Mus musculus: one gene and its partners. The protein of the gene in region 7 interacts with the protein of the main gene of each other region in a pairwise test. Links are inferred from orthologs where the notes say so. Each region holds a gene or a part of one and is shown on either strand. Other genes may lie near its edges. The genes, in order: Lzts2, Cdx4, Maged1, Pias2, Crx, Bend5 and Prkab2.

Region 1 (4,282 bases), on a different chromosome or scaffold from region 7:
GCGCTGTCCAGCCTCCCACCACTGGGCCTCAGTTTCTCCCAGACACTCAGGCGGCTTCGAGGGTGGAGCTGGCCAAACAGGAAACCTTACAGGTCTTAGGAATCCACAGGTGCCCTCTGGGGTCTCTCCTACCTCCCAGAGGTTGATGCAGGCTGTGCTTGTTTCCATGTCACTCTTAGCTTCTGCCATCACTCGGGACTAAGGGAGCCTACCCAGGCCCTGTCCCACTGCCAACCTTTATAAACCTTCCTGCTTTAGTTGATCTTCAGAATAACCCCTATGGAATTTGAGCAGGAGCCCATTACCACGTCTAGTAGGAGCTCAAGTAAGATGGCTGGCTCCGCCTCCCCTAGTCTTACTCCTTCCTGGAAAGAACAGCAAGCCTGCACCCAGAACGGAACTCCCGCCCAGTCCCAAGGCTGCCGATGACCAAGACTTAGGCATCTGCTGAAGTCATCACAGAGCAAAGGGGCCAAAAAGTGGACTGAGGATCCATGAGAAAGAAGAATGTGTGTGTGTGTGTATGTGTGTGTGTGTGTATGTGTGTGTGTGTGTACATTTACTTGTGGGTGTGAGTACATAGACAGGGTCATAAAAAAATGAACAGTATCTGTGAGAATATGCATGAAACTGTGCAGTCCATGTGGGTTTAGACAGATGTCAGTACGTTCATACATGTGTGTATATGTGTGTGTGTGATGTAGGGGACATGACAAAACCAAACAGGGTTGTGCTATGTACCATAGGTGGGCCTCAAACTCAGATCCTCCTGCCTCAGAGAGCTGGGATTCTAACCTTGTGCAAATATGCCGAGCTGTATGTGTGGTTTTTTTTGTTTTTGGTTTTGGTTTTGGTTTTTCGAGACAGGTTCTCTCTGTATAGCCCTGGCTATCCTGGAACTCACTCTGTAGACCAGGCTGGCCCTGAAATCAGAAATCGGCCTGCTTCTGCCTCTGCTTCTAAAGTGCTGGGATTAAAGGTGTGCGCCACCACTGCCCACTGTGAATTCTTTTTTGCTGTTTTGTTTGTTTTTTGTTTGTTTGTTTTTCCAAGACAGGGTTTCTCTGTGTAGCCCTGGCTGCCCTGGAACTTGCTCTGTAGAGCAGGCTGGCCTTGAATTCAGAGATCCACCTCTTACTGCCTTCTGAGGGCTGGAATTAAAGGCGTGTGTGTTACCACCACCAGGCTGTATGTGTGAATTCTTATGTTTTACAAAGTTATGAGTTTCGTAACTTAGAAAGCACACCACACAGTTATTAATGTGTATAAAACAAATGAATCTGTGGGCTCTGGATGTCACTATATGGCAAAAAGAGAAATGTTTGGATAGATATACCAGTTTGTGCACACATATGTGAGGTTTGTGTAAATACCACTAAATCTTCCAGTCACCTATCCTCAGTAAGCCATTCTGCTTCTTCTCCTAGCATGAAATTCTAGGGAAAATCCTCCTTTCTTTGGGTCCATTGAGTCAAGTCTCTCATAGACTGAGACACACAAATCTCTACAGGACGCCTGCAGTTCTCCTGGGACAGTTACATGGATTCCTACTGTACACAAGAAAAGTGTGTGAAAGCTCCCCAGGACCAATCTGTATAAGTGAGCGTTCTGGGAGTGCATGAGGACCTGGGTGACATTCAAAGCCACCAATGTGAATGGGGACTCCTCCTCCCTAAAACTTTTTTTTAACTTAAGAGTTTGAGGAAAGGTGAGATCACAGTGCCTGACGCCCTTGCCCCATCTTATCTTTGTATATTGTTCTCCACTAAGTGCCTCTAAGTGTTAAGACCAGAGACTCACAGGAGTCCAGCGTGAGGAAGGAGTTGCTAAGAGCTAGGGTAGGAACTGAAGTGTAGCAACTTCTCTGTAGGGTAGGTACTGAGATCGCCCCCAAAAGGTCCAGCCTAGGGATGGAGACTGCTCCACAGTATAGTGAGGAGTGAGAAGGGGCTGGCACTCCTGTCCCTACTCCAGAGGACACAGAAAGTGAGACCCAGAAGGAAGGGCAAGGGCCGGGGTAGACACTCAGAGAGACAGGAGCCAGAAGACAGAAGAGACAAAGGCCAAGAGGCTCAGACACGAGGAGCCAGAGGCAGACCCATGAGTTAGGGTCGCTGAAGCTACACAGGCAAGGACCCCTAAAGCCAGAGGAGCCACAGAGCTGAGCTCTGAGGGCCAGGCGTCAGGAAAGCCAGGCCTAGCCAGCCTGGCTCCCGCTTTTGAGGCCCAAGAGAGAAGGAGGGGCAAGCGGCTCCATTTTGAGAAATGCGTTTGTAGCTGTGGGAAAAAGAAAGCCCTGGTTCTCCCCAGCACTCCCTGACCTATCACTATGGTACACAGACCCCTGCGCCCCCACCCCAGCAAGTAAGCTGGGGGTTCTAGAGTCTGGGGCCGCGCCAGGGCCTGAGATGAGTCTGGCCCACGTCCCAACTCTCTGACCTCAGGGCTGGGGTTGGAGAGTTGGGGAAAGTCCCCCCAAACACACACACTCAAACTCCAGAGACCAGTCAAGCAGGATCCAGTCTGGGATCACGAGTTGCCATTCCGAGACTGAAAGCCCAGAGTCGTCGTGTCCCCCCACCCCCCCCCCCGCCACCCACAATAGTCCGCTCCTTCCATAAACTGGGGGCGTCTATGGAATGCCACCTCCCCACCGGACCGCATCGCTTAGAAGTTGGGGCACCCTCAGCCCTGGACCCCTCACCTCCGCCGCGCTGCTCCATGCTCAGCCCCGGGCCGCCCCAGCACTCCACAGGCGCGCCGCCCGCTCCAGCCCGCGCGCGGCCACTCGGAGCTGCCCGGCTCGGCCCCGCCTCCGCCCAGCCGGCGCCCCCGGCCCTGACCGGCCCCCGCCCGGCCCGAGTGGGCGGTGCGCACTGATGGGGGGAGGGGTCCGAGGGGCGTTCCCGCCCCGGGGAGCGGACACGCGCAAGTAACCCACGTCACGCGTGCCAGCCAGGGCGCACGCGGGGGCTGCTCGGCGGCGCTCGGGATTCCTCCCAGAGTGGCCTAGCAACTGTGTGTGTGTGTGTGTGTTGTGTGTGTGTGTGTGTGTGTGTGTGTGTGTGTGTGTGTGTGTGTGTGTGTGTGTGTGTGTGTGTTAAGTGTGGTGTGTGTGTGTGCTCGGTAGCGCTCGGGATTCCTCCCAGAGTGGCCTAGCGACTCTGTGTGTGTGTGTGTGTGTGTGTGTGTGTGTGTGTGTGTGTGTGTGTGTTAGGAGGCTCGGCCGGCTCGAGACTCATCGAGCCGGGTCACCATCGCCTATCCCTGCCGGAGCCCAAGGGCCAGCGGCAGCTGGTCATTGTTCCAGCACAAAGAGCCAAGGCGCGGCGCCAGCCCCGCCCCTCCCCCTCCGCTCCTCTAGGAGAAGCTTCCCTCCTCAGTCTCCAGCTTCCCGGTCCATGGGGAGGCCGAGGGGGTCAGCCATCCCTCTCCAGTTGCCGGCTCCTGGGCACAAGTTGAGGGACTGGCTCGGTCGCTGTCTGTCCCACCCCCAGCAGGCTGGAGGTCACACGCTTGGATTTTCCAAATCGGCGCCACCTGGTGGCCCTTTCCAGCAACTTACCAGCCCCCCCCCCCCAAGACCCCCACCAATCCCACTCCCTTTCCAGCACAGCACCCTCGGGCCGCGAGCCCAGGCTTGTCCCTGGCATGGCTCCAGCCTCCCTAGCCGAACCTCGGGGGTCATTTGCTATGAGAAGGGTCGCTGCTCAAAGGGGGTGGGAGGGATACCTGACCCCCAATAATCTCAAGAACGAACAGCTCAAACCTACACTGGCTCCGCAGCAGACATCCCAAAGTCTCTCTTGGGGTCACAAATATTTTTACCCTCTCGAAAACAACAGTCTTAACACCCACACGACCTTTCCCACATTCAGTCTCGGGCAGCCACAGTCAGTCTCATCCATCACGTGGCTCCATAGATCTTCATTCCATAATCCTTCAGGCCAACTCACAGAAGGCTTGGTGTTTCGTGCACGGGAGAGTGCACAACAGTCCTTTGCATCCAGTCACATTCTTTAAATACACTCAGCCTCCCAACCCTCTTCCACGCAATGACAGCCGGATTCAGCCACTCTGGAAACTTCTTACATCATATTCACAAACTACCCACTTTCCCTGAGGGGTCTCTGTGACCTGCTCAGGTCAGCCGACCTCACATGTTCTGGCAAGGCCATCCTCCCTTCCCCGATCCCCCCCGCCCCCCCCCCCAAGGTCTGCCAGAGCTGGGCTCAGCCCCAGGAAGAAGCACCCCCCCCCCTTCCAGGCCACAGCCTGGCCG
Region 2 (4,034 bases), on a different chromosome or scaffold from region 7:
CAAAAAAACTGTATTCAGTGAATGAGTATAGCAGTCAAGCTGGTTACAGGTGTCATCTTTGAGAATCCTGCTTTATAATGCAGATGCAGTCAGGGCTTCTCTCTCTTTTTTTTTTTAATTTATTTATTATATGTAAGTACACTGTAGCTATCTTCAGACACTCCAGAAGAGGCATCAGATTTCTTTACGGATGGTTGTGAGCCACCATGTGGTTGCTGGGATTTGAACTCAGGACCTTCGGAAGAGCAGTCGGCGCTCTTAACCACTGAGCTATCTCGCCGGCCCCGGGGCTCCTCTTTTTAAATGGGTGACTGTGTCTGGGATATAGGTGGTGGAGTGCTTACCTAGTTCATACTTTTGGAAGGAAATTGCAAGTCTGCTGTAGCTGCCATGGATTTCAAACTCCATGAGTTCCTGTCCTTTAGGGCACTGACTTTGAAGAAGACAGACGGAAACTAATACATTACTATGAAGTTCAGAGTATGCACTACCCACTTGCGCTCTCTCCCCTTTTCATGGCTCCTTCTTCTTCTTCTTCTTCTTCTTCTTCTTCTTCTTCTTCTTCTTCTTCTTCTTCTTCTTCTTCTTCATCTCCTCCTTCTCCTTCTTTAATGTGTGCATATTTGTTAGCATCTAATTAGGTAACCTTCCATCCAACTGGAATCTAACTTTAGGAAGCTAGAAGTATATGTCAGTGCTGTTTCCCAGTGCCTACAACAATTCCTGACCCACTATGGATACTGAATATACATTTGTGAAACAAATATCTATCTGTCCAGAGAAACAAAGCCCTCTCCTTGTGTGTGAGAGAAGGGAAAATCCTTGCCAGTGGCATGATGGGCCAGTAACAGCTGGAAAGTCCATACAGGAGAGTATGGGCAGAGGGGAAAACCTGGAGAGCAAGCTGGGCTCTGGAAGATCAGGGAAAGGCAGGCCTCAGTGAAAGGAAGCAAGACTTTGCGCTTCTCAGTCTCATTTTGAAGAAGCCAATGAGAAATTTCTTGAGGAACAACTGCCTCCAAAAGCGCAAAAGTGGTGCTACGAAACCAGAAGAGTCCCTGAAGTGGCGCTGATGGGCTAGGAGCTAGGGGGAGAAGGTGTTTGGAGTGAACAAGAAGACGTTAAGTGGCCCTTCATTTGAATGCAAATGCTATGTAAAAGCTTGAAGCCCCTTGACGTCAGCCCAGCCTTTGGTAACCCTCCTATGGCTCACTACCAGTCACCTGGAAATTTAGGGTAGGAAAGGAAGGATGGAGTAGTCCGAGCCGCGCAGAGGAGCTAGCAGCGCTACTAGTGCTGACCGTTGATAGTCTCTTGCGTCTCAAACTCGGGTTGGCGCTAAGTTTACAGGGACCTCAGGATGGCTTAAGGGGCAACTTCTTCTATCCAAGTCACCATGTATGGAAGCTGCCTTTTAGAAAAAGAAGCGGGCATGTACCCAGGCACTCTCAGGAGCCCTGGAGGAAGCAGTACAGCCGGAGTGGGCACCTCTGGGGGCAGTGGTAGTCCTCTGCCTGCCTCCAACTTTACTGCAGCCCCAGTTTACCCACACTACGTGGGTTACCCTCATATGTCCAACATGGATCCTCACGGGCCTTCGCTGGGAGCCTGGAGCTCACCCTACAGTCCGCCCCGGGAAGACTGGAGTACATACCCTGGGCCGCCCAGTACAATGGGCACAGTGCCCATGAATGACATGACCTCCCCAGTTTTCGGATCCCCAGACTACAGCACTCTGGGCCCCACCAGCGGTGCAAGCAACGGCGGTAGCTTGCCAGACGCGGCCAGCGAGTCACTGGTTTCTCTTGACTCCGGCACCTCAGGCGCCACTTCTCCCAGCAGGAGCCGTCACAGCCCCTACGCATGGATGCGCAAAACTGTGCAGGTGACGGGTGAGTAATCCATCGTTCCGCTGTTTCTTCTCTTCTCTACCCTTGGTCCGCTACCCTCTTACTCTTCACTCTACGTCCCCGTAGGAGAGTTCAACTAAGCAGCCCACAGCGTAGCTGGCTGATGGGATCAGTAGTTCCCTCCTTTGCGCCTAGGTTCAAAGCCGGTTAAAAGTAGCGCTTGGAACTAAACCTCTCCTGGGGGTTGTTGAGGTGGGTTTGTTTGTTTGTTTGTTTGTTTAGGTGGTTGGTTGGTTGGGTTTTGGTTTGGTTTGGCTTTACCCTTTCCAGATAAGTCAAGGGAGTAAGGGTATGGACAGTGTTCCTGATGAACCACAAGGATCGGGATCCAATCCTGTCGTTGTCCGGAGGGAAAAAACCAGAAGCACATCATGATGAACAGGGTGAAGGACAGCTAAGGTTGTCATGGTGCTTGCCGGTTTTATCTCCAAATCTTTCCCTACCGCGGTATGCAGCCTCGCTGAAAACTTGTGATGCTCAACTTAGTAGGTGCTTAGCTGGCAACCGACGGCCGAGCCTAAGAAGGCTTCCAAGGCAAAAAACGGCCCTCGATACAAGATGCCTAAGGAAGCTACATCTTCCGTCGCCCAAATTAGAAATGTCTTGAAGCCTATTCCAATGTCCCTACCAACCGAAGGAAGCGTTAAGGTGAACAAGGTTACAGAACTGAGCTGTCATTTCATAGGACACAATCCTTACATCCGCCAGGCACACAACCCAACTGTTCCAAGTATTATTATCTCCCCCCCCCCACCCCCGCCACTAAGTGCCTAAAGCTCTCATAGCTATTTCAGCAGGTGGCCACAAATGCAGAAGCAGAATGCAAGTCTGCGACAGCGTCAAAACACTAAAAGGTGTAAGGACCCCAGTTTAAGGTCTAATGTCGCTGACCAATAAGCCCTGGCGGGCAACTGGGAGCAGCTAGCTGGTGGGGAGGGAGGCGCGAGCTTAGAGGAAATGAAGACTCCACTGTAATTCTTAGACTGGGAGCCAGTGACATGTTTGTTTACAGCTGTGGTTGTTCTCTTAACATTTTCTTATTATTCCAATACTTGTTCCCTGTCATTAGAGGACATTAGTGACATTTGTCTATCACATTCACCCCTCTGGGGAGGCAATGATATTTCAATAGTATTTGTCCATGTGTTTTCCCTTCTCGCTCTTCCAAAAAGCAAAGGTGAAAGGATAGGGAGGTAACATTTTTTTACCTTTAGGAGAATTTTCAGCCAGAAGGAGGAAGCTCCAGTTTTATAACTAGGGTAGAGATCCCAAGTTAAAAGTAACACTTAAGAACTTATATTAAGAAGAAAATATGGATAAGTCATGTAACTTTAAAAAATAATAATAAGGCTAGGGTAGGGCATTCATCCCCAGAACTGTTGTTACATCTAATCTTCAGGGTAAAAATAACATCCATTCACTAAAACCTAAGAATAAGCAAAATACATATTTTAAAAAGGACATAAAAATACCTACTGTCTAGGATTGTCCTTTGAAATACTGTAGGGGGAAATGTCACTAGCACATTTTTTAGAATGGAAAACAATGTGAGGAAAATGACACAATAAGAAAATTCAGTTGTGACGATTTGTCTTTGTGTTGCTGAGGGGAAACATGACAGTTTTCTCTGTTTTGCTTTAAGTCTTCCATATATATCTCAGAGCCTTCTTTGGGTAATTCTGATGCCAAGAGAAGTTGAGAAGGGATCCCCCCATCTACTCTGTGTTACTTCCTCTCTTCCATGTTTAGTAGAAGCTCAAAACTGAGAATGAGGTTATAGCTCCTTGGACTCTTGGCAACTTGTCCTATAGGCAAAGTTTTGTTAACATCAACATTTGTTTCATTTGAATTCCTTGTAAGTTAATACCATCCTTTTGCATATTCTTATAGTTCAGGTTGTTATTCATCAACAGTTTAAGATGAGAGCACCCCACACATATAAGTGATACTTTTCATAAGTTCTGGAAATTCTAGACTCACTGAATATCTTTCATGATATTGGGCCTTAAACTCCACAAAAATCAATGTCATCACCCCATTGAACACTCCAAACCAAAGTATACCCCTTTATATTAGCAAGGGAGCAGATGTTAAAGGTCTGTTAAGTGAACGGACAAGTCAGAG
Region 3 (4,246 bases), on a different chromosome or scaffold from region 7:
TTCGCATCTGTATGCCATCTTTCTGCGTTTGTTTCCCCAGCTGTCCTGGAAGCACAGCTGGCTGTGTGTCCTTGGGCACGACCCTCTTTGCGGGATTCCTGTTTTGGATAGTAGTGAGTAAACCAGGCTCAGAGAAGTCCACTAAAGTGTAGTGACTATATCTCAGGGGACTCACACAGCGAGGGACAGATAGGGCAGACACTCCTCCCGGAATTCTAAAGCCAAGGCCAGCTTCATTCTGCAAGAACAAGGCAGACACACCTGAATGCTCTGGCCGCTCCAGCAGTCACCAAGAAAGCCTGCGGTCTCGCTCCTGGAGACTGCCTACTAAGAGGAGCACAGAACGAACCTAAAGGGTCCCCACACATGCCAGGCCTCCTAGAACACAAGCCTTATTCCCATGGAACAAATATTGGGGAGAGGACAGCTTGTTATTCCAATAGAGGTTGAAGGAGTGCCCCTGTTCTCAGACTAGATTTTACACTCAGGAAAATCCAGGCCCCTCATGGATGGTTTTGTTTGTCTTTTAGATCAAGTCTCAGAGTTGCACAGCTGGCCTGGAACTCAGGGCTTTCCCTGAGTCCCCAGAGTGCTGGGATTACCAGCCTGCGCAGCGGTGCTGGGGCAGGTTCTGGCCTTTCTGTGTGGTACCAGCTCAATGCCCCGGGCTTCTGCATTAGCTACCTGGTGTGTTAAATGAGAATGTTGCACTCCATCCATCTCCCTAAAACAGCCTGCAAGAAAAACAAGCCCCAGGGCAGACCCCACAGCCCAACGCCTTTCCCTCACCTCTCTAACCCAGCCCTCAAAAAGGGTTTCGATGGGCAAAAACTGCCAAAAGGGCGAGAGAAAAAGCTCATTTTCTGAGTCCAGTGAGAGGAAACCTATAGATCCCCCCCCCCCCCGGGCGACCCTTGCTCCGGTATCTCTGCAATGGTTTTTTTTTTTTTTCTGGCCTTTAAGGTTTCTGCGTCGTAGAGTGGGTGAACTCAGCAGAGGCCTAGCATGTTTCGAAATAAGAGACCCCCGCGGGGGGCCTACCTACGGGGCTCTGCACACGGGGGTGGGCGGGAGCTGCGGACCTGGCTAGAGAGAGTTCGGGAAAAAGGGCGGGACTGAGCATAGACGCATTGCGGAGAAAGGTAGGGGGCTGGTGTGTCGGGCCAGGGGGTGGGACCGAAAGGCGCTGCGCATCTGTTGAAGGAGTGGATGCGTAAGGAGAAGGGGAGGAGGAACCTTTGTCCACTGTCAACCTGGTTGGCGGTGGGATAGTGTGCTGGCAAGGAGGCGGGCTCTCCTCCAAGTGCACATGCGCAACAATGGCTCTGGGATGAAGCTTTTGTTGGGAAAGCAAGCGGGACTCTTATTTGGACAGTGATCTGCTGCGCATGCGCGGCGCGTCCAGAGGCGGTGGGTGGTATATTAGGCGGAGAGGCGGGGTCGCCCGAGCTGCCGCGCTGGCATTTTCTCCTGGACGCGGAGAGAGTGCGGGTGCCGAGAGCCGGACAGAGCCATTCCCGATCCTCTTGAGTCGCGAAGAAGGAAACAGCGAAGGGATTGGGGTTCGGCCCTGAGGCAAGGTGAGGTTCGCCCCCAGACGGGGCATCTGCCCCCCTGGCGCGGCGTCCTTCCGCCATTCTTTTCTCCCAGTCCCTTCACCCTGGATTCGGAAGCCCCCTGCTCTGCCTGCTCCCGGATTCAGACCCTGCTCCCGACCCTTTTCTAATTTGAAACTCCGTCCGTCCCCCTGAATCTTTTCTCCAGTTCCCTCCCCGAATCCTATTTCCCGACCTTGATCCCGTTAGATGGTTCCTCTGAATTCAGAACCTTAATTCAACTTTTCGGACGCCCGTGTCTCCCCGCTCGCCGCCCTCCCTCCCCGCCCCCGTAAACTACCGCATCCACAGCTCCTCTCTGACTCCAAAACGGCAGCGCTGAAGCTTTTCCCTGGCCGCGTCTGAGATTGGAGATGGTCTAGCGGGACGACCGGTTACTTTTCCCGCTCCGCTTAGGCCTGGTTCTCCCCCCGGACTCGGCACCTCACCCGCCCCCAGAATCAAAGCACACACGCACACAGAATTCGGTCCTATGTCTTTTCCTTCTGTAGTGTAATGCCCAGCTCCTCTCTCCCACACCCCCCCCCTTAGGCTCTGCTCTTGCCAGGGAGACGAGAGCTATGGCTCAGAAACCGGACGGCGGTGCAGGCCTCCGCGGCTTCCAGGTGAGGACCCCGCTCCCAATTCCCCCATTTTTCCCCTGCTGACAGTTTACGCCCACCCCCGGCCCCTTAGGTCGCGCGAATGGCAGGATCTGATTTTGCCCTTCTTCCGGCCTAGACACCGCGGGCTCTCAGATTTCTAGCGTTTATCGAATGGGGGGGAGGGGCGGCCCTTTTCAGCCATCGGTCCCTGCTTAGAGAAAGGGGAGACCCTGTTAGTCAGGGCATTCTGCCCAGAGAATGCGGGTTGGGTAAGGAACCATTTTTTTTCCATAACCCTGACGCGTGTAGAGCAGTCTGTCGCCCCATCCCCCAACCTCTCGCCTCCACCCTCCCTTTCTCCACGCCGCGAGACTCCCCCTCCACCCTCTCGGCTTATCCTCCTTGATTCCTCCCTCCTCGGGTCTTGAGCTCCCCACCTCAAGCCTAACCAGTCCGTCTCTAAACCCATTTGGGGCTCAGAGCTTGCACCACATTCCGCACCAGCCCCTGCTGCCACAGACTGTCCCTCACCTTGCCCTGCCCCCTCTACCCTTAATTAAATTTTGTTCGCGCCCCGCCTCCCTTTGACCCGCCTCTGCCCCCACGTCTGAGTACTGTGACGCCTGTCTACAGCTCCCCTGCTGCGTTGCGCCGCGCCCCCCCCCTCCTCTGGTCTGCCATGTAAGGCTCAGAGATTGAAATGTTGCCCCTCCTGTGTTTGCAGGCTGAGGCCTCTGTTGAAGACAGCGCCTTGCTTGTGCAGACCTTGATGGAAGCCATCCAGATCTCCGAGGCTCCGCCCACCAGCCAGGCCACAGCAGCTGCCAGTGGGCCAAATGCTAGTCCCCAGAGTTCACAGCCCCCAACTGCCAATGAGAAGGCTGATACTGAGGTTTCAGCAGCTGCTGCCAGGCCTAAGACAGGCTTTAAGGCCCAGAATGCCACCACAAAGGGGCCAAATGATTACTCTCAGGCACGTAATGCCAAGGAGATGCCCAAGAATCAGTCTAAGGCGGCCTTTAAGTCACAGAATGGCACCCCTAAAGGTCCACATGCTGCCTCTGACTTTTCCCAGGCAGCACCCACAGGCAAATCAGCTAAAAAGTCTGAAATGGCCTTTAAGGGTCAGAATAGCACTAAGGCTGGCCCCGGTACCACCTACAATTTCCCTCAGTCTCCCAGTGCCAATGAGATGACCAACAACCAGCCTAAGACAGCTAAGGCTTGGAATGACACTACTAAGGTCCCTGGAGCTGATGCCCAGACCCAGAATGTAAATCAGGCCAAAATGGCTGACGTAGGGACCAGCGCAGGTATCTCTGAAGCTGATGGTGCAGCAGCCCAGACATCAGCAGATGGCTCCCAGACTCAGAACGTGGAGTCCCGGACTATAATTCGGGGCAAGAGGACCCGCAAGGTGAGATCCCAGCTAGCTTCCCTTTGCTTTGGGCTCTCTCCTTTCTTCCAATTTCCTTGGCTCCAAACACAATAAAGGGCATGGATTTATCTGTATTTTGGCACAGTTGTAGGGGGTGCTAAGGTAACTATTATTCCTGAGCCCAGGTTGTCCACAGGCTGATGATGAGTTGATACAAGGACACAGGCAATATGTGTGTAGGCCATCTTACATTTTGACATTAAACACCATGTCTTAAGCTAGGCAGGCTCACACAGAATCAATTAGATCTTGAAGATGTACCTCACTCTCTAGAGAGAACAGAGTCAGGAAGAAACGAGTTCAGGGTGAAACCAAGCACTGTCCGTAGTCACACAGGAAAAGGAGAAATCTAGGTCCCACTTTCTGTTTGTTTGTTTGTTTTTTCCTTTGTCTGGTTTGGAGATGAAACGCCTGTCTGAAAGACAAAGAGAATCAAAGTGACCAGTGGCTAGTGAGGTGTAGGTGAAGATTCCTAGGTACTTCCTAAGATAGCAACTGGGAGGACCCAGGATTAATAGTGACCCTGAAATTTTCTTCTCTCTAATTATACAGGTTAATAACTTGAATGTGGAAGAGAACAACAGTGGGGATCAAAGGCGTGCCTCACT
Region 4 (4,160 bases), on a different chromosome or scaffold from region 7:
TTTATATGTATACCGTACTTCAGTTAGCTCTTGGGCAAGAGTTTAAGGAGAGGCAGTCTAGAGCTTAGTTTTGTTTTTGTTGTTTGTTTTTCTATGTTGGGAATGGAGGCCAGGAACTAACAGAGTCTAGCCCAGAGCTTACCACTGGACTATGGCCTAACCTTATCAAGGCATTTGAATTAGTATGTTTGAAGAAAGATCCTTGTATGCTAAGGAGAACTGACGGAGGTATAGAATAGGAATTCTTTGCTCACAGATCAACACTTTAAAACTCATACAAGTGCAATGTTCTCAGAATGACTGTAACTGGAAAGAAGCCTTAGGTAGTAACAATATTAAACGGATTCCGTCAGTCTTATCAATGAAATCTGAACTGTGTGTGACCAGCCAGTTTGACTCTGCATTATGTCTGTCATTATGTGTTTTTTTTCATTCTCACACTTTATTCTAGGCTGGCTTCCACCCGGCTGCATAACAATCGCTCATCCTCCTGCTTCAACATCCCAAGTCCAAGTATCTGTTTTATTTCTCCTTTTTTCATTCTTCCATCGAATCTGGGAATATCGGCAATCTTTCTTCTATCTCTCGTCTCTTCATTTTATTTTTCTTCAGCTATCAGGATTTCCTGACTTTTTTCATCAGAGTTTTCTGGGGTGCTCTCTTTTACTTCACTTTTCTCCTCACCGTACCCACAATTCTTTCAACGTTGCTGTCCAGGCCGTTGACATCCCCTTCAAGGTCAGGAAAAATATCAGCCAAGGTGAAAAATTAAGACACAAATTAAAAGGTCTTAGCCAACTGGGTGTGGTGGCACACACCTTTACTCTCAGCACTTGAGAGACTCAAGGAGCAGGTGAATCTCAAGTTCGAAACTGCTCCACGAAAGAGTTCCAAGCAAGCCTGGGTTACACAGTGATGCCCTCCCTGTCTCAACAACAGAAACACAAAACAATTCTTATCCGCGATCACCATTAACTTGGAACAACGGTTTCCACATCACCCTTACTTGGCTTATCCTATCACAGCCACTCTGGGGATGGCACTGAGAGAATCTTCTCGAGTGTTTCCGTGAGTCCTGTCCACTCTCTTCTCTCGGTCACTTCCTCAGCCGAGGCGGTCCTCCAAGTCCCGGGAGAAGGCCACAGTTCCGGTACGAGCCTCGGGAGCTGCCCGCTCTGCCGGTGCGGGGAACAGGGTGAGGGGAGGAGACAGGAAGCGGCGAGCAGGACCGCGCTCGGTAGGGACAGGCCACCAACCGGAAGCGCGTGGGTCGGGGGCGCGCTCGGGCGGAAGACCGCGCGCGTTGGGTTGGGGGCGCCGCGAGGGGCGGGGCCAGCGCGCGCCGGGGGGCGGGACTCCCGCGCAGGTCACGTGAGGGGCCCGGTGGAGGTGGTGGAGGTGTCGGCGCGGCGGCGGCGGCGGCGGCGGCGGCGGCCGCGGCGTCTAGAGCGGCGCCCAGTGCAGGATGTTGCAGGAGACGGCGGCGGTGTCGTTGGCGGCAGCGGGTGGAGGAGCGGCGACGGCTGAGGCGCCTGCGGGCGGGAGAAAATGGCGGATTTCGAGGAGTTGAGGGTGAGCGTCGCGGGGGCGGGGGGTGGGGGGGGCTGAGCGGAGGCCGCAGGGCGGGGGGAGGGGAGGCGGGAGCAGCGCGGCGCCGCCGCTGTCGCCGTCGCGGTCGTCGCCGGGGCGTGCGGCCGGCTGGCGGAGCCGTACGGTCCGGCGCCGCGCGGGCGAGGGCAGGCGGATGGCCCTGGCACCCGGCGGGCCGCACACCTGGCGGGGCGGGTGGCTCGATTCGGCTGGGCACGGGACAGCCAACGGCGGTCGCCTTTGCGGTGGCGACCCCGGGGCACGCCGTGACCGCCCGCCTTCGGAGCCGTGAAGGAGTTGCGTTTAGGGAGCTCCCTGTCCCCCGCTGGGGTCTAGGCAGGTCTGTCACGAGATGAGGCCCCTTCCTCCCACCCCGTGCTGTCTCCCTCGGCGTGGGGAGAAGCGCGCTCTTTTGGGAACGCCGCCTTCCGTAGTCGGCCTCCTACCCAGAGACTTGGTTTGTAACCATGGTAAGAAAGCTTCTGAGTCCGTGTTGTCATGTGTGTGTAGTCGGTGCTCTTGAGGAACAACTGTTTGCTAGCATGAGAACAAGGTCATAACTTTATCGTTGGTGCCTTTGTAGTCGGGCTCTAACGGAGAGGCTGGTGGAGGTTATAAGAAAAAAGGATTTATTTTTTTCCTCCATTAGATAATCTTCACAGAAACCTTATCCCAAACTAAGCCAGGTATGGTGAGCTGCATTGAAGGCCGAGTTACTGACGACATATGTGGGATGTTTACAGATAGAAACCCTGACTCGTGCGTGTGTGTGTGTGTGTGTGTGTGTGTGTGTCTGTCTGTCTGTCTGTCTGTCTGTCTGTCTGTTTTAAAGTGGAGACAGAAGTATATATAGATTTGAAGTTAAATGAACTTGCAGCCAGTTGGGGTACCTTAGGCACGTTTGGTGTTTGGGTTACTTTAATCTGGTTCTGCTTTGTGAGACTGTTATTGTTTGTGGGAAAAGGATGTTGGCAGGCCGGACAGCCAACAAAAGAGTGAATGTGAAAGCTCGCATAGGGCCTACCATTTTCTCTCCTGTTTCAGGAAAGATTGATTTTATGGTTACATGTTGTATCCCTTATCAGTTTATACAGGTAGCATAACTGACAAGGGCAATTGAACCGTATCCATCCTAAGTGTTTAGTGGAGCTCCTGAGATAGCCTGAGCCTCACTCACTACAGTAAATTTTTACCTGCAGTATTACCTTAACTTTTGCACATTAAACAGATGTATATTTCCTCTCAAAAGGAGATGTAGCTTTTTTTGGTTGGTGAAAACCTCCTAGGTGTATTAGACTTTTAGAAATGTCACTGGTTTAAGGGAAGAATTGACCTTAATCATAAAGGGTGGAAGAAAGGACATCAGTACTCAAATTGAAGTGGAACCAGGCAGGACCTTAGAAGCAGTCCCTTTCAGATGTCTCTGTTTTGTTTTGTGGCAAGCTTCATTTTCTCATCTCTAAATCAACTTGGTTTGGCCTCTCCTTGTGCTTGGTAAAAGATAGTATTGTTGGTTTCCCCAGTCATATAGTAAGTGACCAGCAGAGACTTAACCCGAGTTTCCAGAGGAAAGGTAGGAAGGCGGAGTTCAGCAGAATTAAACTCTGTTTTGCTTAGGGCAGACCCATGTTAGCTTGTATTTTAAAAACTTTATCTCAGTCCACAGTGCAGAAAGTGATGGTGGTACATACTCATTTTAATATCACCGAATACATGCCAGACTCGCTTCACATACTTGACATATACATTGTATTCTCCTAATTCTATGAAGACAACAAACACACATAAACTTTCACCTATATTATCCTTTGAGAGGAGAAATGCTAAAATTTTAAACACTAGTTATCTGATTTTAGAATCTTGAGTTCATGTTTGATTTCATTGTTCAGGTGTCCTCGGAACTAGGTGGGATTCCTAATTTTTCTATTTATGGGATAAATTAAATGATAAATACCATCCTTTTGTATCATAAAAGTGGAAGAAAAACAGAGCCCCTCTAAAAAACCCAACCCCCCAAAAAAACAAACAAGCAAGCAAACCAAACCGAAACAACAAAACCCAAAAACTATAATCTGAAAGAAAGAGAAGGGGAAGAAATATCCAGGACACTCAGAATGATGGTTTCTGGCACAGACTATATTCAGATGATCATAGTGATAGTTAATTACATTATAAAATAAAAAAAATTTTATGGACATTAGCTTTCTGGTTATCTTGGCAGTGGAAGAAATGGTAGACTGATTGGGGTACTGTAGTTTAAGCTGTTGAGGATCAGTGTAGCATTAGTCAGCATGTGGCTGGTACTGTCCATTTTGGATGAAGATCATCCCCTCATTTTAGTAATCATGTTCTTTCACTTTTTAGGCTTGGTGTGGTGGGGGTGGGGGGAGGGAGATGTCATTTTATAAGTGTGGTTTGAATAGGTATGACCCATAGATTCAAGTGTTTGAATGCTTGGCCTATAGGGAATGGCACTGTTAGAATGTGTGGCCTTGTTGGAACAGGTGTGACTTTGTTGGAAGAAGTGTGTCATTGTTGGGGTGGGCTTTGAGGTCTCCAATGCTCAGGCT
Region 5 (4,222 bases), on a different chromosome or scaffold from region 7:
ACAGAGGGGGAGGGAATTACTGAGGGGGAGAGAGAGATGGCAGGAAGATGTGTATGCGTGGAGTAGCAATGGAACCTTCATTTCAGCTCAAGGATTGCAGGAAGCAAGCAGAGGCTCTGAGACCAGGCTGTAGCCTCAGGCTTAGGTGGACAGGCAGAAGGGTCTCAAATCCAGGAAGGGACCCACAGACAGTGGCAGAACGACAAAGGAGGGAGACACAGAGGGAGACAATGAGAGAATGCAAACTTGCCTTACAAAGGGAACTAGGGACAGAGTCAGAGACAAGGTGAAGGGCTGGAGGGATGGCTCTGTGGTTAAGAGCACTGGGGCTCTCCAGGAGGACCAGGGCTCCATTCTCAATACTTAATGGTGGCTTATAACCTGTAATTCCCGGTCCAGGGCATCTGATGCCCTCTTCTGGTCTCTTCAGGCATCAGGCACTCACTGTGTGTGAACACGTGGGTGCAGGCACAATATCCATGTATGTATAATCAATAAACAAATCTAAACAAGAGAGACACAGAGAGAAAGAGTCAGACATACAGAGACACTCAGAGATAAAAAGACAGAGAGAAAGAGAGACAGGGAGGAAAAGAGCCAGAACCAGAGCTGCAGAGAGACAGCCAGAGACAGAGAGATAGCGGGAGACAGAGAGTAGAGGTAGAGTCCGACACAGATGGAGACTAACAGAGAGACAGAGAGACAGTGGGAGACAGAGAGTCTAACAGAGACACAGGCAGAGATTGACAGAGACATAGAAACTCAGGGAGAGGCATAGAGACAAAGACACAAAGAAACTCAGAGAGGCAGGGTCTGAAATAGTGATGAAGATAGAGAAGCAGAGACTAGAGGCAATGGAGAAGATACAGAGCAATGGGGAGACAGAGATATAGAGAGCCCTGAGGAAGTGAGGGAAGAAGGGAGAAAGACAGAGAGGCACAGAGAAAGAGAGAGAAACTGAGGCAGAAAAAGGGAGAACCATCAAGAACTACACATTTGAATTAGTTCACTCAGTGGGGTCACAGATCTCTCTTCCCAGTTATTCTAGCTGTGTCAGAAGACTTAAAAGTTCAATACTAGCCTGGGCCACAAAGAACAACCCAGGAAGTCCTGTGCCTTTCTTTTCTGTCTCCCAGGAGCACTGTACACTTCTTTCTGTGCTTTTGAAGACATTTCTTTTCAGATAGTAGCTGAAGCTGGAGGAATACCCTTTAGACCCAAGGAAAGACTTCCCTGAGAAGTGGGGGCTCCTGGTTGCAGGCAGGAGTTGGGCTTTCCCTCCCTTCTTCATCAACCCTAATTGCCAAGATGTCACTGTGGGGGTGGTGGGATTAAGCAGACGGTGCCCTTCCCCCAGCCAATGTCACCTCCTGTTGCCCAGTGAGTCCCCCACCTTCCCTGGGATTACCCTTCCAGATCCAGGCCACAATAGATGACATCACTCCCAGCCCAGGCTTAAAGTCGCCCCGTGTGAGGGGACCTATTTCCTCTAGCCTCTGCTGTCTGATGACACCATCCAGTACCTGAACATCCAGGAGAGTCCCCATTTCTCCTTTCCAAAGGTGAGTCTTTCCAGGAGAGGCTGCGAGAATATTTTATTCTCACCCATGTTTGACATGAAGATGGGTCTTGTGATGCTTTCTGAACAGATTAACATAGGGTAGAGATTCCAGCAGGTGTTCAGGGAAACAGGTCACTTAGGACCATGATAGGAGGGAGTAAAGTCATACCAGTTGGGGACTAGTTGTTGGGATCCAGGAGTGGCTTTAGGATGAATGGATTTTATACTCTGAGGACATTCAGAGGTGGAATGTCTCATCTAAGCACACATCCATGGTGTGTGAGCATGTTCATGTGTTTGTGTGTATGTATGTCTACAATGTGTGTGTGTGTCCATGTGAGAGAGCAACCTCGGAGGACAGAGATAGACATACTGGTTGTCTTCCTAAATACTTCCATTTGCTATTTTTTCCTAGACCTCTCTATGTAGACCAGGCTGGCCTTCATCTGATGGATCTTCCTGCCCCTGCCACCCAAGTACTTAAGGTTAAAGGTGTTCACCACCACACCCAGCCTATTTCAGACAAGGTCTTTCACTGAACCTGGATCTCCCTGTGGAGCAGAGGCTGGCTGGACAGTGAGCCCTGTGTATCTGTTTGTCCCTGTTCCCCCAATGCTGGGGTTATAGTGTGCCCAGCTTTTATCTGGGTGCTGGGGTTCTGAACTCAGATCCTCACGTATGCACAGACAGTGCTTTATCTGTTGAGTCTTCTCCCCATTCCCCCGAAAGAAACCTTTTACATTTAATTTATGTTTTTTGAGAGGGAGTCTTTTGGAGCATAGAGTGGTCTTGAACTTGTTCCGTAACAGAGGCTGGTCTTGAACTCCTGATCCCGTGTACTACTGCTCCCGCTTGTTTTTTTTTTTAACTCTTTGTGATTTTTCTTCTCTGTTTGTAAGGTATATATTCATTATATAAGTATACATGCATATATATTTAGTGTGTGTGTGTCTTCTGACTCCTTTGTTGAAGTCAGATGACAACTTGCTGGAGTCTGAGTCAGTTCTCTGCTTCCACCATGTTTGATTCTTAGGAATCAAACTCAGGGTTTTAGGCTTGGTGGCAAGTGTCTTTATGGTTGATCCCTCCTGTGGCCCCTGAGATTTCCTCTTCGTTTGTGTATATACCAATACATAGATCATCTCTCCCTGGAGAACGCTGGTTCTTTTCACTGCCTGGCACTTGGGTGCTATTTGACTGTTGACAGGATGGATCCCTGTCCTATTAGATTGTTTATTAGTTAAAACACGGGCTGGGGCTGTAGCTCAGTCAAAAGATAAGCGCTAACATGTTCTACACAGCTATTTGCTCACATACAAATGGGAAAAAAATTACACTTAACATTTTTCTCTTTTTTCAAAACTATTTATATTTTTATTCACTTTACATTTGGATCACAGCTCCTCTCCCTCCTGTCTTCCTCCTCACATATCCCTTCTCTCTTTTCTCCTCCCCCTTCTCCCTCAAGAAGGGGAGACTCCCTTGGATACCACCCCACTCTGGGACATTTCAGCAGTTCTAGGAACATCCTGACCCACTGAGCCTCATCCAGGGAGTCCAAACAGTGGGGAAGGGGATCCAATGGCAGGGAACAGAAACCGAGACAGCCCCTGTTCCACTTGATAGAAGAACCACACGAACACCAAGTTGCACATTTGCTACAGATGTGTGGGTCTAGGTCCAGCTCCTGCATTGAGCTGAACATTTTGAGGCCAATGTGGCTGCTAATTTCTGTTCAATGCCAGCTCAACATAGTAAACTGGAATTCTTTCTCTGAGGTCGAGAGCAGGGCTGATGGCTAATGTTTCTAAGGACGCAAGTTACAGACGTTGAGTTTTGAAGGAAAACACCAATATTACTGACATTTTTTTGTTTATTTTTTCCTCAATGGCTGAGGCAACTCTTGTAGTGTCTGTGGTCCAAAAAATTACAGAGACATGTAGCAGGACATAGTGGTATATGCCTTTAAATTCTAGCATTCGGAAGGTAGAGGCAGGCAGATCACTGTTGGTTTGAGGCCAGCCTGGCCTACAGAGTAATTTCTAGGCTAGCCAGGACTTCATAAACTTTATATCAAAGGGAAACCTTGTCTTTATAAAAATGTGGGAGTTGGCTGGCTCAGTGGTTAAGAGTACTGGCTGCTCTTCAGGGAGACCTGGATTCCCATTCCAAGCACCCACAGGGGGGCTCACAGCTGTTTGTAATTATGGTTCCAGGGCACCCAATACTGCTTTCTGGCTTCTTCTGATGGTACCAGGTGTGTTTGTGTTCATAGAAATACATGCAGACAAAACACTCATATACAAAAACACCAACACAAAGAGAGTAACAAAAAAAAAATCCCAGAAACAGCAAAGTTTGATATTACTGTTGCATCTGTCTGTCTATCTATCTATCTATCTATCTATCTATCTATCTATCTATCTATCTATCTATCTTTTAAAAAGATTTATTTATTTAATTTACTTTTATGGGTACACTGTAGCCGAACAGATGGGATTGAATTTTTAGGATCTCTGCTCCCCAGTTAACCCTGCTCTCTCTGGTCCAAAGATTTATTTATTATTATACATAACTACACTGTAGCTGTCTTCAGACATGTCAGAAGAAGGCATCAGATCTCATTACAGGTGGATGTGAGCCACCATGTGGTTGCTGGAA
Region 6 (4,253 bases), on a different chromosome or scaffold from region 7:
ATGAAGTGAATTTGGGAGTTTGGCTTTATCTCTATCATGAGTATAGCTGATTTGGAATGTGAGCACAGTGCCTAAAGTTTAAAATGGTTAAATGCCTTTTATTATTATTGTGAGGACTAGCAACAAGAATGTGTGTATGTGGAATATGAGCATAAAGAGTACAAGAGAAAACAAAATCTCTCACCTATGCAAGAAACTCAGAATCATAATAAACATTTCAGTGCACTTGTTTTGTTACAGGTTAAATTTATTTAAATGAGTTTTTAAAAACATAGCATTTCGTTAAATCTACCACCTCCTTTATGCATGCCTTTATGAGAATACTTTTCTCACTATAACCTCATTATTAAGCTTTCTTAATGCTCTCAGACTAGAATGAAAGATTACAAGTAGCAGAAAAAATGGGTTATTCAGACAGTAATTTAATATTGACATAGGATCCAACTGAGATTCAAGTTCTAATACTTTAGTAAATACTACAAGGTCCTAGGTATCTATTCTTTCTATAGACCACCAAGCCTACAATATAACATGGAGTGTGTGCTCAGAAAAATATTAGTTACTTGAATAAAAGAATAAGTGGAAGAATGGATGTATGTGAAATTCTGTTTATCCTTCCCCCAAAATTCACCAATCTCTCTCTGACAAATACCCTGGTATTGAGCTAGACAATTGGAATATAAATAGCTCAGTTTCCCTGTAAGCATACAATACAGAACAAGTACAACTCTCAGCCTTCTTTCTCTGGAAGGTGTGGTTTGTCTGCAGGAACCAACCTTTCCAGGTTCTCATCTGTGATTTTGGAAACAGAGAAGGGACTGCTGTTCTGCCCAGTTTGGCTCCTGAACTCAACTGACTCCAGAAAGTCCGGCCTCTGCTCTGGCTCCCTAGAGCCCTCCATCCTTGTTTCATTCCAACTGTTCCAGCCCAGAATCAACAAGTAGTGGAGGCGATTCCTCAATGGAGAAAGACCACAGGGAAGAGGGGTGCCGCTGCTCCCTTAGGATAAAAACAGCCCTGGTCTAACCCTCTGGTATCCCAGCAGCTGGTTCAACTGGAAACCTCAGATTACTCTAGTTCTGGCCAAAAACTGGTTTGGCAGCTCTAGGGGAATGTTTCTGGCTCACTGACCCTCACAGCAGGTGCTGGCAATTTTGCAAAAGAAAGAGAAAAGGGGGAAATGGGTTTGGAGGGTGGACTGAAGGAACGGAGGCGCTTAGCTAAATTCGAAACACTAAACTATTGAATCCGCCCGAAAGCGACTTTTAGCAGCGCTCCTCCTATCCTCTAACGCTACTATCATATATGCTCTTTCCCCACCTTACTGCAATCGCACTCCGGCTGTGATTGCTCGGGTCTGACTTCGCAAGTGGCGGTGTGCTTCAAAACCCCCTCATCCGCCCCTCGCCCGGCTCTCTCCACTCCCCTCCCTTTTCCGCGCCCAGGCGAGAGCAGCCGATTGGCAGAGCGGGGCTTTCAGGAACAATAACAGTGGGGGGAGCCGGGGCCCCGGGGAGCCTCCCCGCCCCCGGCCCGGCTGCGGCTCACGCCCCTCTAGGGGTCCCCACCTCCGCACCGCCCCACGGGCTGACCGGCGCCCGGGCCCGCCCCCGGCGCCCACCATGTACGCCTTTGTGCGGTTCCTGGAGGACAACGTCTGCTACGCGCTGCCCGTGTCGTGCGTGCGCGACTTCAGTCCCCGCTCGCGACTGGATTTTGACAACCAGAAGGTGTACGCGGTGTACCGGGGCCCGGAGGAGCTGGGCGCCGAGCCCGAGAGTCCCCCGCGTGCCCCTCGGGACTGGGGCGCGCTGTTGCTCCACAAGGCCCAGATCCTGGCGCTGGCAGGTGAGCGAGCGGGCCGGGAGGGGCGTTGGGACCGGGCGGACCTGGGGCTGGTTCCGGGAGAGGCCGGGCGGCTGGGGCCAGGGAGCCACCGCTTGCTCTTGCCTCCCGTTCCGACTCCTTGGGCTTTCTTTTGGGTACCAGGTGTCTCTAAGAGGCCAAACCAGTTAAAAAGACCTGAGGGTCCCCTTTGTCTTCCTTGCTTCTCTGACACTCCTGCGCCTTGCTGTCAGTCAGCTTTCTCTACTCTGCTCTCTTCTTTCTGACTCTTTTGTATTCCCCTTGGCTCTTCATTTTCTGCTTCTCTAGCTGCCTACTCTAGCTGTCATCTCTCCCATCTCTCACCTTCACCTCTCTCAGTTACTTCCCTCTGTGTTGCTTTCCATCTTAAGTTTCGAAAACTGTACCTCCCTCTCTCCCTTTAAGGCCCTTGGCGTCTCCTTGGAGCAAGAAGCAGTGTTAGGTCCTTTTGATGGGGGCCCTTTTTCACAGAAGGAATCTCTGACACTGTTCCATCTGGGCCATCATTAGGACAAGGAGACCAAACCTCAGTGTACTGCCCAAGGGGCACAGGTGAGGAGGTGAAGGGCCTTAGGTAGCCTCATCTCCACCCCACTTTATGCATCTCCCAGAAGGCTCCTTGAGAGAAAGATGGTACAAACAGTTTCTAGTTCAGGTGAGGGCCTGACCTCCTAACTCTGATCACACCTGGGGGTGGGGAAGAGGGAAAGGAGACAGGCTGACAGGCAGGCAGGTGGTCTCTTGGTTAATGGGTAAAGATAGATTCAGTTTGTTAACAGGACAAGCCTTTCGGCCTCCTGTACTATGCTGTATCACGCTGAGACATAGGTTCCTCTTCAAGCAGAAACATTTGGCCTTCTTTCTGATCCACTTGTAGAAGGCTTGGGTGCACACCAAGTGGGGAAAAGGAAGTTACCACTTCAAGGCTGGAGAGCAGAGATGTAGCTGCTGCTGGTAAGAGTGCTGCCTTTGATTGAGTAGGCAGAGACTGTCACCTTCCACCTGGAAGACAACCCGGAGATTAGGAGCTGAATGAAGACATTGCAAAGATTTCATGGTTTTGACACTTTTCCTACTTTTTCCAGGGACCTATGTTTCCTCTCCTTTAGCCTAAAAATGAACCTAGCATGAATCAAAGTGACTTGTCCAAGATCCCTGGACAAGCTGTCAGTGTATCTCAGCCTGGTGACTGATTCCTTTTTAATAAATACCTCTAGAAAGTAGGCTTACTAGAATAAAGGGCCAAAAGATTTGGAATAGATCAACACCACATGGTCCTCTTTTTGAAAGGTTAAGTACTTATCACCTCCTAGACAGGTCCTGGAGGCACAGGGCTGTAAGTCCACTTACCACCAGACACTCTGGTCCAAGAGAAAAGAATGAGCGAGGGGGGATAGGTTTAGAACGGAAGTCTTTGTGGCTGATTAGGTTTTATTTTGTTAGCGTGCTTTCCTTTAATTATCTAGGAAGGGATTAGGAACTTATTCAGCAAGAGGATAAGCCTGAGGAAATGTTAACTAGATGGAATGTTAACTGTTTGCTACAAGAAAATCGAGGGTGTTTCTTGATGATCCAGACTCACGGAGATCCAGAGAGTAGATAGGATGGGTGTCAGGAGGCAGTGGCTAAAGACTCTTTTAGAGATTGTCGGTCTCCCTGTCTATCCACTCAGGCATCCATTTCTCCATTCCTTCAGGGAGTGTAGGCACATGGTACTCTTCAAGAAGTACAGGGAGCCTAGCTAGACAGATGGCAGCCTGCACTGACTCTTCTTGTAAAATCAATACAAGTTGCAATGAGTTATTAAAATACATACATACGTACGTAGGTACATACATAGGAAACCTAGGCAGCTTCTAGAAACTTAGCAGAGTAGATGTAGAGATGAGTGGTAGCAGTTTCAGTTTCAACAAAAGGAGTGCTTCTTCTCATCTCCAGTTTTGTTTTTTGTCTTTTCAAGACAGGGTTTCTCTGTGTAGACTTGGCTGCCCTAAAACTCCATAGATCAGGCTAGTCTTGAACTCAGAAAGATTGAGTGTGTGGCAGGAAGGTGTAGAGACTTTGGCAACTTGAGGTTGGCTGGATTCCATTTTTTTCCAGTAAGCTGGTAAATTTATAAATTGGAACTGTTGTTCTTGGTGTAGACCTGATTGGAAGGGCCAGTGTAAATCCAGAAATTCGTCTATCCTGGAAGGACTCTCTCCCGTGTGTGTTGAGCTTGGTGGCTTTGAGGCTTGCTTGAAGTGACTTCACTTGAAAACTCACCTGACCTCTGCAAAGACCTGTCTGTTGTCTAACTACAGTCAGCCTTCTTGTGGACTTACGGACTCAAAACTGGAACCCATGGGCTCTTAAGATCTGGTAATCCATGGGAGCAGAGTTGTGCT
Region 7 (4,059 bases):
GGAGCTCTGGCCATTCTATGGACACCCTATACACAAAGAAAGAGAAACGGAGAAATTCTACTTACCATTTCCCCCTATCTATCTATTAGGGAGGCTAAGAAATGCATCTCTGTGGAGACAGACAACATCCTAAGGTTAGAGTCAGTGCTTCAGTAAAGAGGAAGGAAATCAATGTTAAGGTAGACCTCCAACTCTCTTTGCTACCTCACTGTTCCTTTTGAGTAATTACTTTCATTGTTTAAAATGTTAATCTATGTTTGAGTGTTTTGCCTACATGTTTGTATGTGCACCTGAAGGTGTTGTAGCGCCTGGAACAGATGATTATGAGCCACCTTGTAGGTGCTGGGACCAAACCCGGGTCCTCTAAAAGAACAGTAAGGGCTCTTAACCACTGAACCATCTCATCAGGGTTTATGACTTCTAATGGCTTTATGGTCGGCCTCATCTCACCGATCTACACACTTGTCTAAGATTCTGCCAGTGCTAATGACTGCAAGACCACTGAAACCTCAGTGGCAGACACGCTACTCTCACAGGACACCTCTCACTGTCTCAGCTCACTCAGTCTCTCCTGTGTCCAGAGTTCTTTGACCCCACTGGGCCCTCCATCAGCCTATTTTATCTTCACTTCCAGCCGACTGGTTTCAAAACGCTAGTCCAATAGTATATTCCCAGCCTACCTGTGCTCTCACTCATTAGCTGTTTGCATTAATCCACACAGCTAATCACAGTAACAGAAAACACCGCTTTGATGAGTTTGGGCATCACATAGAAGTAAGTCTTCTGCAGTAACTGCCATCACGTGTCTAGTCAATTCTCTGTCCTACTTTTTATTTCATGCCTCCTGGGACAACTAAAAAGGTTGCTTGGTAGAGGCGTACGCGGAATATGAAAATGTGGATCCACTATGCACCGCTGTCCAGTCGTTTGAGGTGATCCTGTTAAAAGTGCAGATTCTAATTCTGTACCTAGGGCACGGGGAGGCCTCGGATTCGGCTTTTCTAATAACCGCGTGCCCCATGGATAGACAAACTGCTTAGGAAGACAAGACGCCCCACTATCAAGCCCTGGGCGGACAGTTCACAGCCCTAATCCCGACCCGGACCCCACCCTCGGCCCCGCCCCAAGCCGGAGCTGCGCACGCACCCACCACAGAGGCGGTGCTGGTGGCTAGAGAGGCAGGCGACCCAGGCTGAGGAGGGGGCGGGGCTGGAGCGCAGGGGGCGGAACAAGAGGCTCGGTGGGCGGGGCCAGAGGCAGAGGCGGTACCTCGTCGCGGGCCTTGTAGCCATTTTAGGAGGAAACCCGGTTCGCTGGTTTGGGGCGCGGCTTCAATTTCAATAACTTTATTGGTCTCCTTGTACGCCGAACAGCCGGCGTGCGTGTAGCCACGCGAGCCCGGAGCGCATCGCCCGAGGTGAGCGGCGTGGGGGGTGTGCGGGACCGGGGCTGTGGGGCAGCGAGGGCTCCCGGAGCCGGTTCTCCGAGCCGAGGCGTCCGTGAAGCGGGTAAGGGAGGGGACCCCGGGCGCGGTCCCCTGCGGCGGGGATTCCCTTCCCGGGCGCAGGGGCGGGGCCGGGGCGCCCCTGACGCAGCCGCGGGGGTGTTCCCCGCCTGGTGTCATTCCCCGCGGCAGGTTGCCCCCGACTCGAGCTGCAGCCATGGGAAACACTACCAGCGAGCGGGTGTCCGGGGAGCGCCACGGAGCCAAAGCTGCTCGAGCTGAGGGCGGCGGCCATGGCCCGGGAAAGGAGCACAAGATCATGGTGGGGAGCACGGACGACCCCAGCGTCTTCAGCCTGCCCGACTCCAAGGTGAGGTAGCGGGGCTGCCGGCAGCTCCGCCCTTCTTGGTTCTTCCTCCTCATTCTCAAGGGTTATGGGCTTTTTAACTAGAAGGCTATTCCGCGGATAGAGATGCTGGGTGCTAATTCCTCCTAGATACTACCTCAAATTAGGATAGGGGCGCGGAGTTGTTTTCCTGCTGCTCAGAGTAATCTGTGGGCCAACCTTTTAGGACGAGTACCAAAAACCCATCCCCTGCCAGCCCCATCCTTGGATCTACGTGCAGGTTGCCCTCTTCCAGAGCTTGCAGGATGTATAGGTTGTGAGCGCGGGTGGAAACTTCGGAGGGTGCGTTGTCTGAGCTATTGAAAAGGGCTCAGTTTCTCACATTGGCCTCAAGATAGCTAGATGACTTCTCCCTGAAAATGTCTCTGTGTAGGTCTCCTTCTTGCTCTCTCTTACGTGTTCTGCATCACCTCTTCGATCCTCGTCCACCTTTGTATGGCTCTGAGCTGCCATCAGTTGATTACTTGAATACTTTCCCCTAGTCTTGGGGATCCATATAGGACATCATTTGGTTAATGGCTCAGATCTTTTTTTGAAACGTGCCGTTTTAAAATGTAGCTGTGAGCTTTGCACAGGAGAGCAAGTCACTTTACTTCACTCCTCAGAAGTACTTCAAAACGTTGCCCGGGGCTCAAAACCACCCTCTACTGACCTGAAGCCTTAGCTCTCAATTCCATAGACTTGGAGCCAGAGGCCACTTTTGGTCACTCAAAAGAAGAGCCAGATGGAGCTGACAGCAGTGTGATTGCTACCCTAATGTTCCTAATCACTTAGAAATGTCAGCATTAAATACATGTAATTTCTCCCGGTAGACTTTCTGGAGTGAAAAAGAAAACCCGGCCCTTGGGGATGGGGTGGGGTGGTGGACATTTATCACTTCCCAGTGAACTGAGGCTTAGGATAACAGAGTTTTATTTGCCACTTTGATGGCACATGAAATTTGAATTACACACCTTATTTTCTCCGATCGAGATTGAGAACGCCGTTAGAAAAGTGCGTCATTGAACCGGCCATTTCTTGGGGTTCCCTCTTCCCTGTTTCCTCTCCTCTAGGATTCCTCCTCATTTGGGCCCTGGACTCAGCCTAGATTTCCTTCTCCAAAGCTTATCTAGGATGACAGGCAGGCCGTGTATTTTTGCTCATTCCTACATTGATGACTCAGGATTTGGGTACAGTCAAACTGTGACTGCAGTAATTGGTGTCCTGAATAAGAGCCAGGCTGCTCTGTGTGGATTTAGGCCTGTTCTAGAACATTCTTTCCCTCATATCTTGCCCTTTGTGAAATGAAAAAAGTAGTTCAAACAATTACCCATGTCTTATCAGATTGAAAACTTTATAGTTCATGCCCTCCCCTCCACACACACACACACACTGAATTTCCTTAAACATTTGCAGGCTGTACTTTGAATGCTGCTTTGCTGCTGTTCGTGGTGATTTCGCTGATGGTTTAACTGGAGCAAACAGTTTTTCTGCAAGTCAGCAGCAGTCATTCCTACCACAGAAATGTCATGTCATAAGTGGAAGGGCTTTGCTCCAAAGCCAGGCATATTAATAGTTTAGAGCTTTCAAATCCTAAACTGAAAATCCTTAAGTCATAAACGTAATTGATAGGAACGGTGGGGCTGGGGGCATCTTTGCTTCAAAGGTCAGGGTTATCAATAGTCTTAGTCAGTGCTTCTCAGCCCTGTTTGTATGACAGGATCCCCCAAGAATGCTTTAAAAACCTTACGAGAAATCTGACACACTTATAAAATGAACTGTGTAATGAACTGTGTGTATGTCACCCTGTTTATACGGTGCTGGAAGGTCATGAAAGACTTCCTCTGGGATCCAAGCCTCTCCTCTACCAGCCACTCTGAAACAGATTTCAAACAGGTCAACAAATAGTATTTCTAACATTTTAGGACATTCCTCAAAGGTGACCGTTTAAAGCTGATATGATAGCGGCTCACACCTGTGATTTCAGCTGTTTCAGAGGCAGAGGCAGGAAAAACCTTGCCAGGCTGGACTGGAGTGAAAATTTGACCCCTAGAGAACGATAAAATATGTTTTTCCTTGTTTATTGTAATGTGATAAGAGTGTTGTTATCTGAAGGCTTTAAAAATATATATTCCCAAAATCCTATGAGGACTCAGAGACTCTGAGGGTTGTTTTGAGCCATATGTAAGCACTCCCAGTGCAACTGTCAGCCCCAGGGCATTGCTTTGAG

Evidence for each region.
Region 1: the proteins of Prkab2 (region 7) and Lzts2 interact in binary tests that used the Homo sapiens proteins (3 or more experiments, as listed by UniProt). The link is inferred for Mus musculus from reciprocal best matches to the Homo sapiens genes PRKAB2 and LZTS2.
Region 2: the proteins of Prkab2 (region 7) and Cdx4 interact in binary tests that used the Homo sapiens proteins (3 or more experiments, as listed by UniProt). The link is inferred for Mus musculus from reciprocal best matches to the Homo sapiens genes PRKAB2 and CDX4.
Region 3: the proteins of Prkab2 (region 7) and Maged1 interact in binary tests that used the Homo sapiens proteins (3 or more experiments, as listed by UniProt). The link is inferred for Mus musculus from reciprocal best matches to the Homo sapiens genes PRKAB2 and MAGED1.
Region 4: the proteins of Prkab2 (region 7) and Pias2 interact in binary tests that used the Homo sapiens proteins (3 or more experiments, as listed by UniProt). The link is inferred for Mus musculus from reciprocal best matches to the Homo sapiens genes PRKAB2 and PIAS2.
Region 5: the proteins of Prkab2 (region 7) and Crx interact in binary tests that used the Homo sapiens proteins (3 or more experiments, as listed by UniProt). The link is inferred for Mus musculus from reciprocal best matches to the Homo sapiens genes PRKAB2 and CRX.
Region 6: the proteins of Prkab2 (region 7) and Bend5 interact in binary tests that used the Homo sapiens proteins (3 or more experiments, as listed by UniProt). The link is inferred for Mus musculus from reciprocal best matches to the Homo sapiens genes PRKAB2 and BEND5.

Annotation. Positions count from the first base shown.
Region 1 is NC_000085.6:45,016,653-45,020,934, reverse strand, and holds the start of Lzts2 (leucine zipper putative tumor suppressor 2), read right to left. Parts: upstream 2,801-4,282; 5' UTR 2,705-2,800; intron 1-2,704. UniProt on the Homo sapiens protein: Negative regulator of katanin-mediated microtubule severing and release from the centrosome. Required for central spindle formation and the completion of cytokinesis.
Region 2 is NC_000086.7:103,320,164-103,324,197, forward strand, and holds the start of Cdx4 (homeobox protein CDX-4), read left to right. Parts: upstream 1-1,234; 5' UTR 1,235-1,396; coding exon 1,397-1,892; intron 1,893-4,034.
Region 3 is NC_000086.7:94,539,226-94,543,471, reverse strand, and holds the start of Maged1 (melanoma-associated antigen D1), read left to right. Parts: upstream 1-1,446; 5' UTR 1,447-1,580; intron 1,581-2,147; 5' UTR 2,148-2,176; coding exon 2,177-2,221; intron 2,222-2,924; coding exon 2,925-3,617; intron 3,618-4,190; coding exon 4,191-4,246. UniProt on the Homo sapiens protein: Involved in the apoptotic response after nerve growth factor (NGF) binding in neuronal cells. Inhibits cell cycle progression, and facilitates NGFR-mediated apoptosis. May act as a regulator of the function of DLX family members.
Region 4 is NC_000084.6:77,063,848-77,068,007, forward strand, and holds the start of Pias2 (E3 SUMO-protein ligase PIAS2), read left to right. Parts: upstream 1-1,360; 5' UTR 1,361-1,548; coding exon 1,549-1,572; intron 1,573-1,625; exon of another isoform or gene 1,626-2,057; coding exon of another isoform or gene 2,058-2,060; intron 2,061-4,160. UniProt on the Homo sapiens protein: Functions as an E3-type small ubiquitin-like modifier (SUMO) ligase, stabilizing the interaction between UBE2I and the substrate, and as a SUMO-tethering factor.
Region 5 is NC_000073.6:15,877,156-15,881,377, reverse strand, and holds the start of Crx (cone-rod homeobox protein), read left to right. Parts: upstream 1-1,422; 5' UTR 1,423-1,562; intron 1,563-4,222. UniProt on the Homo sapiens protein: Transcription factor that binds and transactivates the sequence 5'-TAATC[CA]-3' which is found upstream of several photoreceptor-specific genes, including the opsin genes.
Region 6 is NC_000070.6:111,413,553-111,417,805, forward strand, and holds the start of Bend5 (BEN domain-containing protein 5), read left to right. Parts: upstream 1-1,453; 5' UTR 1,454-1,622; coding exon 1,623-1,848; intron 1,849-4,253. UniProt on the Homo sapiens protein: Acts as a transcriptional repressor.
Region 7 is NC_000069.6:97,656,953-97,661,011, forward strand, and holds the start of Prkab2 (5'-AMP-activated protein kinase subunit beta-2), read left to right. Parts: upstream 1-1,259; 5' UTR 1,260-1,417; exon of another isoform or gene 1,418-1,636; 5' UTR 1,637-1,661; coding exon 1,662-1,814; intron 1,815-4,059. UniProt on the Homo sapiens protein: Non-catalytic subunit of AMP-activated protein kinase (AMPK), an energy sensor protein kinase that plays a key role in regulating cellular energy metabolism.